Linked DNA regions of Cricetulus griseus. The protein of the gene in region 2 binds, or shares a complex with, the protein of the main gene of each other region. Links are inferred from orthologs where the notes say so. Each region holds a gene or a part of one and is shown on either strand. Other genes may lie near its edges.

Region 1 (7,354 bases), on a different chromosome or scaffold from region 2:
CTGTGGATTGCCCTGCAGAATACATCTAGCACTGGGACGCTAGAGCCCCTTCATACCTTCCACGTAAATTTTTTGTGCACCCTTCTAGTCGCCTCTTGCTGTTTCTTTGTCCTTATGCTCTACACCCTATTGTCTATGGAAACCTCCACTTTTGCATTGAATATAAAACTGTCTGCACTCGTCTCAGAAAGTCCACTGTCTGTTCTCTCAACTCAGAAGATAATCAAGTCAGTTTAAAGGTTTAAGGCCCTGGAAGTCCAATCCCTCATTTCTAATCTGCTCCTTGTGCTGGTCCGTGGACGCTGTTAGGTCTCACACCCAAGACAAAAGGCTAACTGAGGCAGATGCTAGCCACCAGGTTCTCCCAGCATCCCTCAGTCCCTACCTCCAGTTCCTGGCATACCCTGCCCCCTTACCCTAAACTCTGGGTACCAGCCCAACTACTGGGCTTCCCATCCCCCAGCTCCTCTGGCCCCTGTGTAACAGTCATTTGGGCTATGCCAGTCTCTGAGACCAGGCCACCACATTTGGTAGGCAACTCCTCTTTTGTTCTCTGGCCCCCTCCTCATATGGTCAGGCTCAGTTTGGCCATGTTCTCTCTGGACTGTCCCAGATGTCTCTGCCTCTACCTCTGCCTTTGCCGCTGGCTATGCTCTCTCTCACATCTACAATAAACCCCTTAGGAATAGTCATACCCTCCCCTTTATGTCTTTCCTTCATTCTCAAGTACCTCCAACTTCTGTGCCTATTACTCATTTCCTCAGAACTTTTCCCAGCAGACATCCCACTGATTAGAGTTCTCATTCCTGTGTCTTTCGTCAAGATCTCTTGAGGCCCATAGCGACTAACCCCTTTAAAGTTGCAGCCCCTTGTCTCTCAATCTGCCACTGTCTTATTTACCTCTCTGTTACTGTGAAGGAAAAAAAAAAAAACACTATGACCAAGGCAAGGCTGAGTGTAGGATTCTAGAGGGACAAGAGCCTACACCAAGCAGACAAAACAAATGAGATGCAGCACCAGCTCAGAGTTCACCTCTTGACCCACAAGCAGGAAGCAGAGCTGCCTGGGAACATCCCAAGTCTTGAAACCTCAAAGCCAGTAACACACTTCCAGTAACACTTCCTCATCCTCCCAAACAACCACCAAATGGGAACCAAGTATTCAAATGGGGGAGACTTAGGAGGGCCTTTTCCTTCAAATCATCACAGATACCATTTAACATAGGTAAAATGCATTCTTAGCTTGCTACCTTCTTCCTCCATTAGAATAAAACTTCCTTGTGTTCTTGTCTCCCTTTTCTCTCTATTTTTCTGGATTAATGTCAATATCAATGACAAATAGGACACTTTTTTGGTGAATGGATGACAGTATATTCAAAGCATTTTAAGTTGCCACTGAAGTAAATCTGAATAGGAAACATGGGTGTTGCCCGTGGCATCTAAAAGGTCTTTTTGCAGATGTATCAGGGACACAAATGGAGCTGTTGTAGGATGAGAGTCACTGGAAGAGCTGATGTGGAACATTTTTGTTTGGGTATAGGGGAACGTTCAGTAAGTAGAACATTCAAAAGATGGGGCAAAAAATGTGAGTTTGAGGATAAGAAGGAGGAAAGGAGTGATGGAGGGGAGGAGCCAGAGTGGGAGGGAACCAAATGCCTTTATACAGGAGGAGACTTGCAGTTGGGTTTTTGTCTGAATTCAGTGTCTTTGGACCCCATCACAAATCACTTAGGATTCTCTTGTGCCTAAGCAGCTTTGCTCATAGGGGAGGGCACAAATTTCATCCTTAGCAGTCAGATCTAGTCTTTTTAAATGTTGAAGTACTGCAGTAGCTAAGGAGTTGAGCTGGTCCTGAAGGATGTTAAGCTGATCTGAAAATGCTGTAAGTGTCTCTGGTATCTGGTGAGACAGAGAAGTTAATTGATGCAAAAGGGGCTTCAGTCCAGCTGTTTTAGTTCTGAGTCCTGGAAACAACGCCCAGGGTGGCAAAAAGAGGGATAAGATGGCTTATTAGTTCCCCCCTCGGAGGTCACCCAAACTGCTCTGCAGGGGGAGGGGGACTTAGGGGCACTGATTTCAATGGCTTCAAGCTGACAAAAATGAATGATGTTATGGGATCACAGTTAGGGAGTCTCAGAGGAGGATCCATTCAAGGAGCCACAATAAAACATGACAGATGGGAAACATTCAAAACGTAAGTTGGGAGGTAATAACTGTACAACCTTGTGTAGGGAGAGTTTTTCTATCCCACCAGGCAGCTGTGTCCCACCAACCAGCTCCCAAATAACCACACAGAGATTTATTATAAATGCTCAGCTGATAGCTTAGGCTTGTTGCTAACTAGATCTTACATCTTAACCCATATTTCTTATGCCACATGGTGGCACCTTTTCTCAACACGACATGTTCATCTCCTGCTTCCTCTGCGTCTTGCTGGCGACTCCTCATCACTTCTCCTTTCTTCTTCCCAGTGTCCTCTCTGGCTCTCTCACCTAACTTCTTCCTGCCTAGCTATTGTCCATTTAGCCTTTTATTATGCCAATCAGAAGGTGCCCTGGCAAAGACACATCTTCACAGTGTACACAAAGATTATTCCATAACAACCTTGTGGGACTATTAAGAGGCAAAGTTAAAGAAGAAAAATTTTTAGATCAAGATTAACCTAAGTTTTGTTTGCTAAGGTTAAGTGATCAGTTGTTTCTAGGTCTGTGATGAGGGGGAACTTCATGACAGAGAGCACATAGTGGGACAAATCTGCCTACTTATGGTGTGGGAAAGGGCAGAGAGAAGGAGGAAGGAAAGAAAAGAAATAGCAAGGGGAACAGAGTCCAGGCCCATCAAGAGGAACATAGCCAGTGAGCCTTTTCATTGAGGTAGGTCCTACCTCCTAAAGTTACCACCAGTTCCCAATATCTCATTAGGCTATGAATCCATCAATGGATGAATATATTGATAGATAATAGGAGAGACTTCATGATCCTAACACCTGCCAAATGCACCCCCAACACAGAACACTACTATGTTAGGAACAAAGCCTTTAAAACAAGAGCTTATGGGAGCTATTTCAAATCCAAACCATACTGTCCAATATCAGTATCTATAATGTATAAGTTGCATTAATGAATAGAATGAGTTTGGTCCTTAACTCATGAAGCTGACAGTCTAATGGCAGAGACAGGTGGTAAACAAGCAACTAATTATAAATTAATTATGCAGGGGTGAATTATAATTAGGTATGGGAAAAAAATCAACTTATGTACATATGATAGACATTGAAGGCCAGAGAGACATGAATGCTAGCATAGACACTTATATACAGACAAATGTATTTTTTACTGTTTTATAGCTTTTATATTTTGCACCATTTGAATATATGATTTACTCCCAAGATTAACTGTATTTAAAAAATGAACACATACAGAAAAATCCTTGAGATAGGAGTCTGTTTCTCTTGATTAACAGGAAGGAAGGAAGGAAGGAAGGAAGGAAGGAAGGAAGGAAGGAAAGAAAGAAGGAAGGATTATTGTCTGTTGAGAATGAGGGACAGAGAAAGCACAGAGAGAGGTAAAAGTAGGAAATGGCCCCAAAAGACATGGAGAGAAAAGAAAAAGGTTAAGTGCATGCTGGAGGCCCAATGGAAAGGCGGTTCTCATCAGTCTATCCAGTAGTCTACGACTGAGCTCAGCAGCTCTGTGTACAAGGAACACTGGGAGGTGTCTCTTGGCTGCAACCTCCAAGGTGGAATACTAGGAAACAGGAGGGTTGATCAAATAAAGGCCCTATCATGAGAGGAGCCACAGAGGTGGCCATGGATTCCACTGTGCAGAAAACAGTTGTGCCGACCTCAGGCTCAAAACTGTTCGAGGTTCTTTGTGTGAGACATGAAAAGTAGGTGGATGGGTATGCCTTTAATGCTATATAAATTAGGGTTTTTTGTTGTTGTTTGTTATCAAAGAGGTTGCATAAAAAATGTTAACAGGAGATGCTGGAGGGATGGCTCAATGCTTAAGAGCCCTTGCTGCGGAGGACCCAGGTTCAGCTCCCAGCATCCATATGGTGGTTCATAGTCATCAAGAACTCTAGTTCCAGACCATCTGGTACCTTTTACTGACATCTGGGGGCACCAGACCGGCACATGGAGCACATACATACATGCAGGCAAAATACTCATATACATAAAATAAAATGAATAAATCATTTTTTAAATGTAACAGTAAATGGGTACTGATTGGGAAAAATACTTTAAATTAGAAGATAAGTCTCTTCTATTCATTTCATAGATTTGATTCCTAAACATGCTCCCAGGTCTCTCTCCAATAAACATCTTGCTTTTTATAAATTTCACGTGGAAAATTCCAGTGTCAGAATGAAGTTTTCCAATGTTGGTTTGTGGGGGTTTGCTGGGAGAATAATCCTAGAGGGTGATTAGACACCTTTCAATCAGAGGTGGGTTGGAGCGAGAGTTGCTGTGTTCAGATGGTCAGTTGTAGCATCTCATGCATCTTACCAATGCATGACATGCAGCTTCTAGATGCTGGCTCTGAAACTGTTGTAAAGTTGTGGGGTCTTTACATTTTTTGTTTGTTTTGGTTTTTGTTGTTTTTTTTATTTTTACTTATTTATTTGTTCAGTTTTCGAGACAGAGTTTCTCTGTATATCCCTGACTATCCTGGAACTTGCTCTGTAGACCAGGCTGATCTTAAACTCAGAGATCCACCTGCCTCTGCCTCCCAAGTACTGGGAGTAAAGTTTTGCACCACCACTGCCCAGCTGACCTATTGTAAAGTTTCAATGAGAATTTTTCATATTTCAGGTAGAAGATGAACAAGCCTCTGACACCATCCACATACGTACGGAGCCTCAATGTTGGACTCATTAGGAAGCTGTCTGATTTTATTGATCCTCAAGAAGGATGGAAGAAATTAGCAGTAGCTATTAAAAAGCCGTCTGGTGATGATAGGTACAATCAATTTCATATAAGGTAATATGGTGTTTATTTTTTCTTTTTAAATCCTTCCCATCACAAAAAAAGGATTCAGGCATAAACACTGTCTAACATAACTGTCTCTTCTCATCTCTGCTTGATTTAGTAGAAAATACAAATTCAGATTAAAATTTGTTGTTGTTGTTGTTGTTTGTCAAGACAGGGTTTCTCTGTGTAGCTTTGGAGCCTGTCCTGGCACTCACTGTGTGGACCAGGCTGGCCTTGAATGTGCATAGATCCGCCTTCCCCTACCTCCCAAGTGCTAGGATCTAGGCATGTACCACCACCACCCGGCCTCAGATTTAATTTTGTGCTATATTTTGCAGTTAAAACTTAATGTCAAAAGTTTGTCTTACATAAAAAGAAAAATAAATTATTGTTTTGTTTTGTTTTTTTAAATAAATGTGATAAAGACTCTAAAGGCTGGGCTCTCAGATTGTCCTTCCTGCAAGTGTACGCTCACATGAAGGCAAACATTTTAAGGTACAAGGGAGAAGCTCAGCTTTCAAACTTGAAAACCAGATTTTCAAAGATAGTTTGTTGATATTTCCATTAAAAATGCAAGGTTGTCACAGCAGTCGTTCTAGAGAGAAAGGGTTCTTCCATACTGAACAGTGCCACAGGCATTGGCAGAATAGTAGAATTTATGTTAGCCATGTATAGCCACCAGGGACGACTGCTTCCCATGAGCCTCATGGGGCTCAAACATAAACGTTTTGTCCACAAATTTTGTATGCATTAAGAAAGAGAAAACCAACTGTTGCTAGTGACAGGGTCTTGCATAGCCAAGGCTACCAGCTGACCAATTGGTAAATCTAGATGGAGGGCAAGTTGTTGCTCACTGTGTTATTCTTTCAAAGTTTTTGTTAAGTTTGAAATTTTTCCAAATATAACCCTGGGAGGAAAAATCAGAATAAGCTGTTTGTGTTAAGTTTACAGTGTTACTTTCTAATTTTTAATTTTAAAGAAATGAGATGAAAAATAAAGATGTTTTCCGTTCTATTTAATTAAATAAAGTTGAGATCAAAGTGTAGGCACATTCTGCTTCATGAGGCAGGCTTGTTCATTTTAAAGTCTACAGCTAGAAGACTGACTAAGTCATGTAAAGTGCATGTAAGACACTGCAATATAGCTAAGTGGTTTAAAAGTGTATGCTTTGTTCGAGAGAGTTCAGAATTTGGATCTAAACCTGGGTAACATTTTGAGTGTGCTGTGTGGCTCACAACTGGCTACTCCACCCATCCCAGTCTAGCACTCTCATGGTAACATTCTCAGCTGTCTCTCTAGCGATATCCTGTAGCTCTCTGAGGTGGGTTTGACTTGTATATGTGTTTGTGTGTTTGTGTTAACTGTGCGTGTATGATAAGTGTCCATGTTTGTGGCGGTCAGAGGTCAGCATGGGGTGCCTTGCTCACTCTCGATCCATCTTGTTTTTTGAGACACGGTATCTCACAGAGACTGGAACTTACAAATTCATCTAGACTAACTAACCAGTGGGCATCAGGAATACAGCCATCACTGCCTGTGCAGCCCAATATTAGAGAAGGCGCTCTGCACTGGCTGTTCTTCGCCTGGATGCTGGGGAATCTGAACTCGGGTCCTTAGCCTTCATACTGGCAACGACAAGCACTTTACCAACTGGGATATCTCCCCACCCCAAAAGTTAGCTTACAATTTTTTAGCTCTTTATTTTATTCCATGTGTATGCATTGCTTTGTCTACATGTATGTATTTGCACCACATGCATACCCATACCTGTGGAGGGCAGAAGATGGTTTTATATCCCCTGGAACTGGAAATGCAGGTAGTTGGGAGCTGCCCTGAGGATGCCCTGGGAAGCAAACCCTGGTCCTCTGTAAGGGCAACAGTTTTCTCAACCACTGAGCATCCCTCCAGCCTCAGTTGTTAACCTGAATTCTCTGGCTCCTTTTCTGCTGAGTGTCATTCTCCTAGATGGGGTACTTCTGGTTCTCTCATACTCCGGTTCCTTTACTGTCTTCCGGAGGGTCAGTGATCCGGACAGGAGGGGACTCGGGAGTGGTGACAAGATCAGTGTCTATCTTCAGATGAACTCTCATTGTGTACTAGTTTTGTCTTTTGTTTTTCAGGAGATTTGAAGCCTTACTCCAAACTGGGAAAAGCCCCACGTGTGAGCTGCTGTTCGACTGGGGCACCACAAACTGCACAGTTGGTGACCTTGTGGATCTTCTGATCCAGATTGAGCTTTTCGCCCCTGCTACTCTCCTGCTGCCAGGTAAACTGGGTGTGGCCAGAGTGCCAGCCACTGTCTGAAGTGATGAATGGCAGGAATCGAAGTTTTATTTCTCTGTTTACTCTTCTATGGAATGAACACACCTGACACTTGGGTCCC
Region 2 (7,354 bases):
ATGTAAGAGGTACACTTATGGCTTATGGCTTTTTGAAAAAAAACTTTATTAAGATATAATTTATGGGCTGGGTGATGGTGGCACATACCTTTAAATCCAAGCACTTGGGAGGCAGAGGCAGGTAGATCTCTGTGAGTTCAAGGCCAGTCTGGTCTACAGAGTGAGTTCCCTTGTCCCAGTTTCTTTTTAGACCCAAGTAATATTCCAGCGTACGGATGTCTCACATTTTGCTTCTCTATTTTTCCATTGATGAATATTTGGGCTCTTCTCGTTCTTGTGCAGTCACGATGATGCTCGGTGGACATTTTGTGTAGTATGTCCTGTGGATGCATGCAAGGGAGATGTGGATACATCTCCCTTGGGTGTACACACACAGGCCCCGGGGGTGAGTACTGCACGTTAGAGGGACACACCGCCAGTTGTTTTCCAGAGGGACTGCCCTGGCTCACACCCCACCCTCCATATAGGAGGGCTACTATTTATCTTATCAAAGTCTGGCCTTGTCCCTCTTTTCGGTTCTTGCTTGTTGGCCATTTACACACCCTTTTCCGAGAACTGCTCTGAGTTTGCAAGTCCTGGAGATGACCGAATTACCTACCCACAGTCCTCTAAGGCATCACTGATTGCGGATATCAAGGACATTACTCAGCAGGCCTGCCAGCTCTGGCTCTCACCTCCAGCTCCAATACCTCACCTCACTCTCCCTGCCTCAGCCTCACTCAGTAACACATCTGCCCGGTGAGTGGGGACTGAGCTACCTCTTTCACTGTGTCCTTGGAGGCAAGGACATTGCTGGGCAAGTGGGCAGGTGCTCAGCACCCAACCCACAGAATGACGCATGGGTGGGGCATCGTCTCACCCCAGGCTGCTCTGAGCCCAAGGCTGGGCCTCCCTTTGAGGGTCAGGGTCACTGGGCCCAGAGCTGGCTATGCAGCTGCCAGCTGGTATCAGGACTCTGGTTTTCCATGTCCCAAAGGAGGGAGAGCTTGGATGATTGTCCTTCTACTCTTAAGTCTTGACTTCTGAGTCATTCTAGAGAAAGGCGATCTTAAGCTGTGGTCCTGGGAGGGAGGGTGTGGGGTGTGGGAAGATCTAAAAGTGATTTAGAAAACCCACAGCCAGGGGAGGAAGGGAGGTAGAAGGGAACTGGGATTGTCATGTAATTCAATCTTGTTTGTAACTCAAATATATAAAAAATAAAAAACTAAAAAAAAAAAAAAAGAAAAAGAAAAAAGAAAACCCACAGCCACAAAAACACACACTGGGATCTAACCCAGTTGGTAGGCTGTCCCTGGATGGTTTCTCAGTAGTCACAACTGGACTCATTTGCTCCTGGGAAAGAGAGTTGCAGTGTCTGCCTGAACCTGTCTAAATGGGCTTCTTATAGTTTCATTTACCGTAAGGGTGTGTACAGAGGGACTCCTACAGGAGCCCCTTTGTAGGACCACTCTCCTTGCTCTCCAGTGCATAGAAGCCATTGTGCACTGCCTAGCTGTGTGACTTCAGGCAAGTGACTGTATGTCTCTGAGCCTTTCATCTGTAAAAGACTGAGGGAACACAGTGGAGTTTGGCTAGTTGGGAGAGGGACGTTTCAGGAGGCTGGGCTACCTCTGCTCTGCAGGACTGTTAGGCTTTCCCAGGATTTGGCAATCAGAATAGAGCAATGTCACATTTATGTCCCCATGACCGAGTGCCAAGTGTTATCCCAGGTGTCCAGTGTATAGAGTTCATCTAGTTCTTGTAGCCTCCTCTGAGGTTGATGAGAAAACTGAGGCTCTGGGAGAGGTGATGAGACCTTTCCTAAATGTACAGCAAGGAAGTGCCAGGGCTGCTCACATGTTGTGTCAACCAACTCAGTCACTGTGAAAAAACACCCTAGGGAGTTGCCTCAGAAAAAGGAAAGGGTTGGTTCACAGCTTGAGAGATTTCAGTGAATGGTCTTTTGATTCTGCTTTTGCCTGTGGCAATGCCTCATGACGTGGAGCTCAAGGTCAGGCAAAGCCACTTCATGGAAGGCGCTGGATTCCCATAGCCCCTTGAGAGCACATCTCTGAGTGCTTGGAATACTCTCTCTGGATCTCATCCCTTAGAGTTCCTACCTCTCCAGGTACCAAGCTGGTAACCAAGCCATTAGCCCCGGGCCCTTTGTGGAACACCAGATCTGTAGCATTCACACTTGTGGGGAAAGGGTGGGAAAAGAGCTGCCAGAATGCAGCCAGTGTTTTCCTTGGGTCTCCCAGGTAGGAAGATAAGGACAACTTTGATCAGATTAATAAGAGCCATAGCCTATCGAGGACCTTGGCAGTGACTAACTCCCCCAACTCTCTGCACATCCCGATCCTGGGTGTAGACTAAACTCTCCCTTTTAGAAGGCACCCTGAGGTTCACTTCCTATTTCTCCAGGGAGGAAATTGAAATTCAGGGAGGGTCAAGGCTCTGGCGGGCCAAGCCCCAGTCCACAGCACCCTCACTGGGCTGGCTTTGTCATGACATCACTCCTTCCTCTTTGCCCCTGAGAACAGTGGGAAGGGGACTCTGGGCTGTTGCATCACTTCCCATTGGCTAGGAATCTGGTTTGGAGTTTCCAGTGACTAAAACAGCAACTCTGAACTTTCCATTCCTACAGGGCACTTCTCCTGGAGGCTTTCTCTGTAGGAGAATGTCTCACCCCTTCCTCATTTATCTAGAGGGGACTGACAGTATAAGGTCCATTGTATTTATCTTGGCTCTGATGTTTTCTATGGTCCTAGGGAGTTCTGAGCTTTGTCTCTGGCCTTCCTGTCCTCTGCTCCCCCCACTCCCAGCCCATAATCCAAACAGAAAATCTCCATGGAGTTTTGTTCTCTCTAAAGCTCATCCCGTCTCCAGCACAGTACTTAATGCCTTTTTTAAATTAATTAATTAATTAATTATTTTGTGGTGCTAGGGCTGAACCCAGAGCCTCATTGGTGGGAGGCAAACATTGTATCACCACAGTCCCCCAGACACTTGACTTTGTGCTCACATAAATCCCCACTCTGGGATTTTTGAACTCTTGGCACCAAGGCTTGATTTTGTTGCTGTTATTTGCTTTGGGGTTTTTGTTTTATTTTTGTTTTTTGAGTCAGGCTGTCCTAGAACTTGCTTTGTAGACCAGACTGGCCTCGAACTCACAGAAATCCTCCTGCCTCCCAAGTGCTGGGATTAAAGACACCAGCCACCACTGCCTGACTAAGGCTTGATTTTTTTTTTTAATTCCTCGTTTTTTGTTCTGTTTTGTTTTGCGGTACTGGGGATGGAGCCTGGGGTCACCTGCACATGCTAGCAGGTGCTCTTCCATCACGATACCTGCCCAGGCTACATCATTCTCAATGTTTGTTTGTTTTAGTTTTATTTTTTTTCTTTCTTCTTTTTTTTTTCCCCCGAGACATGGTTTCTCTGTATTGCTTTGAGGCTGTCCTGAAACTCACTCTGTAGACCAGGCTGGCCTTGAACTCACCGAGATCTGCCTGCCTCTGCCTCCCTAGTGCTGGGACTAAAGACTTGTGCCACCAAAGCCCTGCTTGTTTGTTTTAAATGTGTCCCTTATGTCAATAAATTCAGTGGCAGGGCTGGATATGGTGGCTCATGCCTGTAATCCTAGCACTTGGGAGGCAGAGGAAGGCAGATCTGTGAGTTCGAGGCCAGCCTGTTCTGCATAGTGAGACCCTATTTTAAAAAAGAAAAAGAAAAATAGCTTTTAAGGGCTGGGAATGTAGATCTGTGGTTTAGCATGAATGAGACTCTGATTTTAAACCCAAGTTCTGCAAAACAAACAAAATCCATCCAACCAAACTAACAAACTTTATGAGCTGGAGAGAAAAGCTCTGAGTAGAGTCATATGAAATGAGGCTCTAGGCTCAGTGTCCAGCACCATGATAATAAAACAGTGATAACAATAATAATTCTAGAAAAAGAATTTAATACAGAATCTCACTATGTAGTCCTAGTTAGCTTGGAACTCACTATGTTTGCCAGGTTGGCCTCAAACTCACAGAAATTCTCTTGCATCTGTCTCCAGAGTGCTAGGATTAAAGGTGTTCACCATCAAGCTTGGCAAATGGTAACAAAAGAGGAACCTAGATTAATTGGGAGAAGGCTTGAACTACAACATTAACAAATAAGAACAGGGTCTTACCTAAGCCAGCACCTTGTGAAGGATGAGAGAGACTGGCCTAGTGGACTTGGCCAGGGAGGGTGGGATTGTCCGTGTAGTTCCATGACAACAACCGTCTTTTTTTTTTTTTCTTCATGAGACAGGGTTTCTCTGTGTAGCTTTGGAGCCTATCCTGGCACTCGCTCTGGAGACCAGGCAAGCACCACCAACACCTTGCAACAACCGTCTATTTTATACCAAACAAATGCAAAGGGAAGCCAGTAATGCTAGCATATGGGAGACAAGGGTAGAAGGATTATTGCATTGGAGGCCTGTCTGGTCTATACAGTAAGACCTTGTTTCAAAAAGTAAAAGAAGGAATGCATAGCCGGGCATTGGTGGCATCCCAGCACTCGGGAGGCAGAGGCAGGTGGATCTCTGTGAGTTCGAGACGAGCCTGGTCTACAAGAGCTAGTTCCAGGACAGCCTCCAAAGCCACAGAGAAACCCTGTCTCGAAAACAAAACAAAACAAAACAAAAAACAAACAAACAAAAAAAGGAATGCATAATTTTGCACTATTGCCAACACAGCTCCTTGCAGTTCTGCCCAGAGTGTCACAGTTAGCAAAGTGCCAACCCCATGGGCTGTGTTTGTCCCTGTGACAGTTCCATAAGGACAGTGACCATGGGTTCATTTGTTCATTCATCCATCACAGATCTATGGATTTTTCCCACCAGAGTTGAGACTTAGCCAGGTACTCAGGGAACAACATCAGAGGACATTTGTTGGGGTCCCCCAAGAGCAGGGTGTCCCTGAGGCTGAGGGCCTCCCTACCTTGCTGCCCTCCCTTCAGCCAGGCAGTGTCTCCATTTGGGGATGTGACATTGTTGGAGAGAGATGAAACTCTCTGCCTTCAGGGGGTTTCTGTTTAGATGAAGTGGGCACAGTTCTGCTCCCCACTGAGGCTTTTTCTGGGGAAGAGACCATCCCAAGCAGAGACACTGCCTCTACTCAAGACTCCCAGGCTCCTGTCTTGTGATCTTCCTCCTGTTGGGTGCAGTAGCCATGCTGACACCCGGGAGGAGCAGTGTGGCAGGAAGGGCCTCTCCCTTGCAGGCAGCAGCTCTAGCTCTAAGCAAAGTCCTCTCTTGTCTTCCAGCCTCCTATGTGATCACAGACCTGACACAGCTGAGGAAGATCAAATCCATGGAGAGGGTACAGGGTGTGAGCATCACTCGGGAGCTGCTGTGGTGGTGGGCCATGCGACAGGCCACTGTCCAGCAGCTGGTGGACCTCCTGTGTCACCTGGAACTCTACCGAGCAGCCCAGATTGTCCAGAGCTGTGAGTAACCATCTGTTCCCAAGGGGGTCTCAGCAAGGGCTAATGTGTCTGTCTGAAGACCTTGTCCATCTTTTATCAGTACAAGGGGTGGAACCAACTCGGTGAGATGAGCTCTCTACCACTGAGCTACACTCTAGCCCTAGGACCCTTCTTTTTCCCAGGTTAAAATTCACACACCAAGTCATTTATTTATCAGATATTATCTGCAGGCCTGCTGTGTACCCTTCGTGGCACTGGGTTTATCAGGAGACATGCTAACTAGCCAGAGACCTAAAACTTTTTATTTTTATAATTAAAAAAATATTGGAGCTGGTGATGGTGGCAGACACTTTTAATCCCAGCACTTGGGAGGCAGAGGCAGGTGGATCTCATTAGTTGAGGTCAGCCTGGTCTACAGAATGAGTTCTAAGACAGCCAGGGCTACACAGAGAAATGCTGTCTCAAAGAAAAAACCAAAAGCAACCAACCAACCAGCCACCACCACCACCAACCAAAAAATGGAGGCCAAGAAGATGGCTCAGTGGGTAAGGGCATTTGTTGCCAAGCTTCATGACCTGGGTTTGATCTCTGGGGCCCACATAGTGAAAGGAGGGACCCCCAAAAGTTGTCCTCTGACCTCCCCATGGGTGTTGTAGCAGCTGTGCCTCTCCAGACAAACACTCAGAAAAAAAAATAAATTGAAAAAAATTAAATATTGGGGAGCCAGGTAGCCAGTAGTAATAGGAAAGGAAAATAAACAGATCAGGAGATAAAAGTGATTGGGTAGGGAAGCCTGGTAAGACTGTGGCCAGGGACGGCCAGGCCAAAGAGAAAACACTGCAGGAGTGGAGAGAAATGGCCACGGGTCAGAGAGCCCAGGAAAAGATGAGGCTGGGGCTGGGGGTGTAGCTCTGGGGTAGGGCACTTGCCTAGAGGTGCAAGGCCCTGAGTTCCAACACCAACACTACAAAAAACAAAAGGAGCATCTGAGGCCTGGAAAGTCCCAGCCTGGGCTTTGAAGTTGACCTGTGTGGGGACCAGAATGGTTGCCTTCTGTGCCAGAGACCCTGATGTAGCACTTGCCTGGATGACCTGACCAGAAGCCTTCTTTTAGAGAAGGATGGGAGTTAGAGTGTACCAGGCTCAGAGCTGCAGCATACGGGCTTTTAGGGCCACCCTGGTACTGTGTCTACTTTTCAGCTGCTGGGTAACTCCCTGGGATCTAATGTGTGTGGGAACCCAGGGTTTTCACACTCCATGATTTTCCCTTTGGAGCTTAAATAGGAGGTGCCTGTTGCAGCAGGAGAGAGTCCAGCCAGGCTTGCTTCTGCATTCCCAGAAATCGTCTCATAAACCAAGCCCCTGCCTATTGGCCATAGCTTCCCCCAGTCTCTGGCTTTGTCCTGTTTGTCCTTCCCTGCCCAGTCTCCTTCCATGTCCACCTTCCCTCAGACTGGACAGGGTAGTCTGCTTGACTCACAGTGCTTTAGAACTGGCTGGAACCTATCCTGTCCTGTTCTGAGCTGTGCCAGACTACTGTTCCTTGTCTCCATTCCCAAGGACCAGCCTGGGAGGCCTGGGGCAAGACACAGCTGAGTGAATCCAGGCTTGGCCCATGCTACAGCCCTGGGAGACTCCCCTACTTTCAGAGTACAGACCCCACCATTGTCTTGTGAAGGCACCAGCCTGGATGCCAAGCAGAGCCCTCTCTGGGACTCTTGGAACCTTGGTCCTTGTGATCACTGGAACCAAGAGGCATTTCATTTGATCATGTGATCAGCCCCTGACGATTGTAACCTCAATTTTCTCTGTATTCCTAGAAAACTGAAATGTGACAGATGCTGGGAAATGATAGTGTTGAAATTGGTGTGATGGCAAATATCTGTAACGCAATCCTTTGGAAGGTAGAGGTAGGAGG

Evidence for each region. The genes of interacting proteins can lie anywhere in the genome.
Region 1: the proteins of Irak2 (region 2) and Irak4 are in contact, whole or in part, in a crystal structure (PDB 3MOP), measured with the Homo sapiens proteins. The link is inferred for Cricetulus griseus from reciprocal best matches to the Homo sapiens genes IRAK2 and IRAK4. Residues at the interface, in NP_001561.3 of Homo sapiens: Tyr6, Ile36, Lys44, Met48, Glu59, Trp62, Trp63, Trp64, Gly65, Met66, Arg67, Gln68, Ala69, Gln73; in NP_001107654.1 of Homo sapiens: Asp24, Phe25, Pro28, Gln29, Lys34, Glu92, Phe93, Phe94, Ala95, Pro96, Ser98, Val105.

Annotation. Positions count from the first base shown.
Region 1 is NC_048595.1:391,031,573-391,038,926, forward strand, and holds part of Irak4 (interleukin-1 receptor-associated kinase 4), read left to right. Parts: intron 1-4,812; 5' UTR 4,813-4,819; coding exon 4,820-4,980; intron 4,981-7,091; coding exon 7,092-7,237; intron 7,238-7,354.
Region 2 is NC_048601.1:31,150,299-31,157,652, reverse strand, and holds part of Irak2 (interleukin-1 receptor-associated kinase-like 2), read left to right. Parts: intron 1-5,274; coding exon 5,275-5,457; intron 5,458-7,354. UniProt on the Homo sapiens protein: Binds to the IL-1 type I receptor following IL-1 engagement, triggering intracellular signaling cascades leading to transcriptional up-regulation and mRNA stabilization.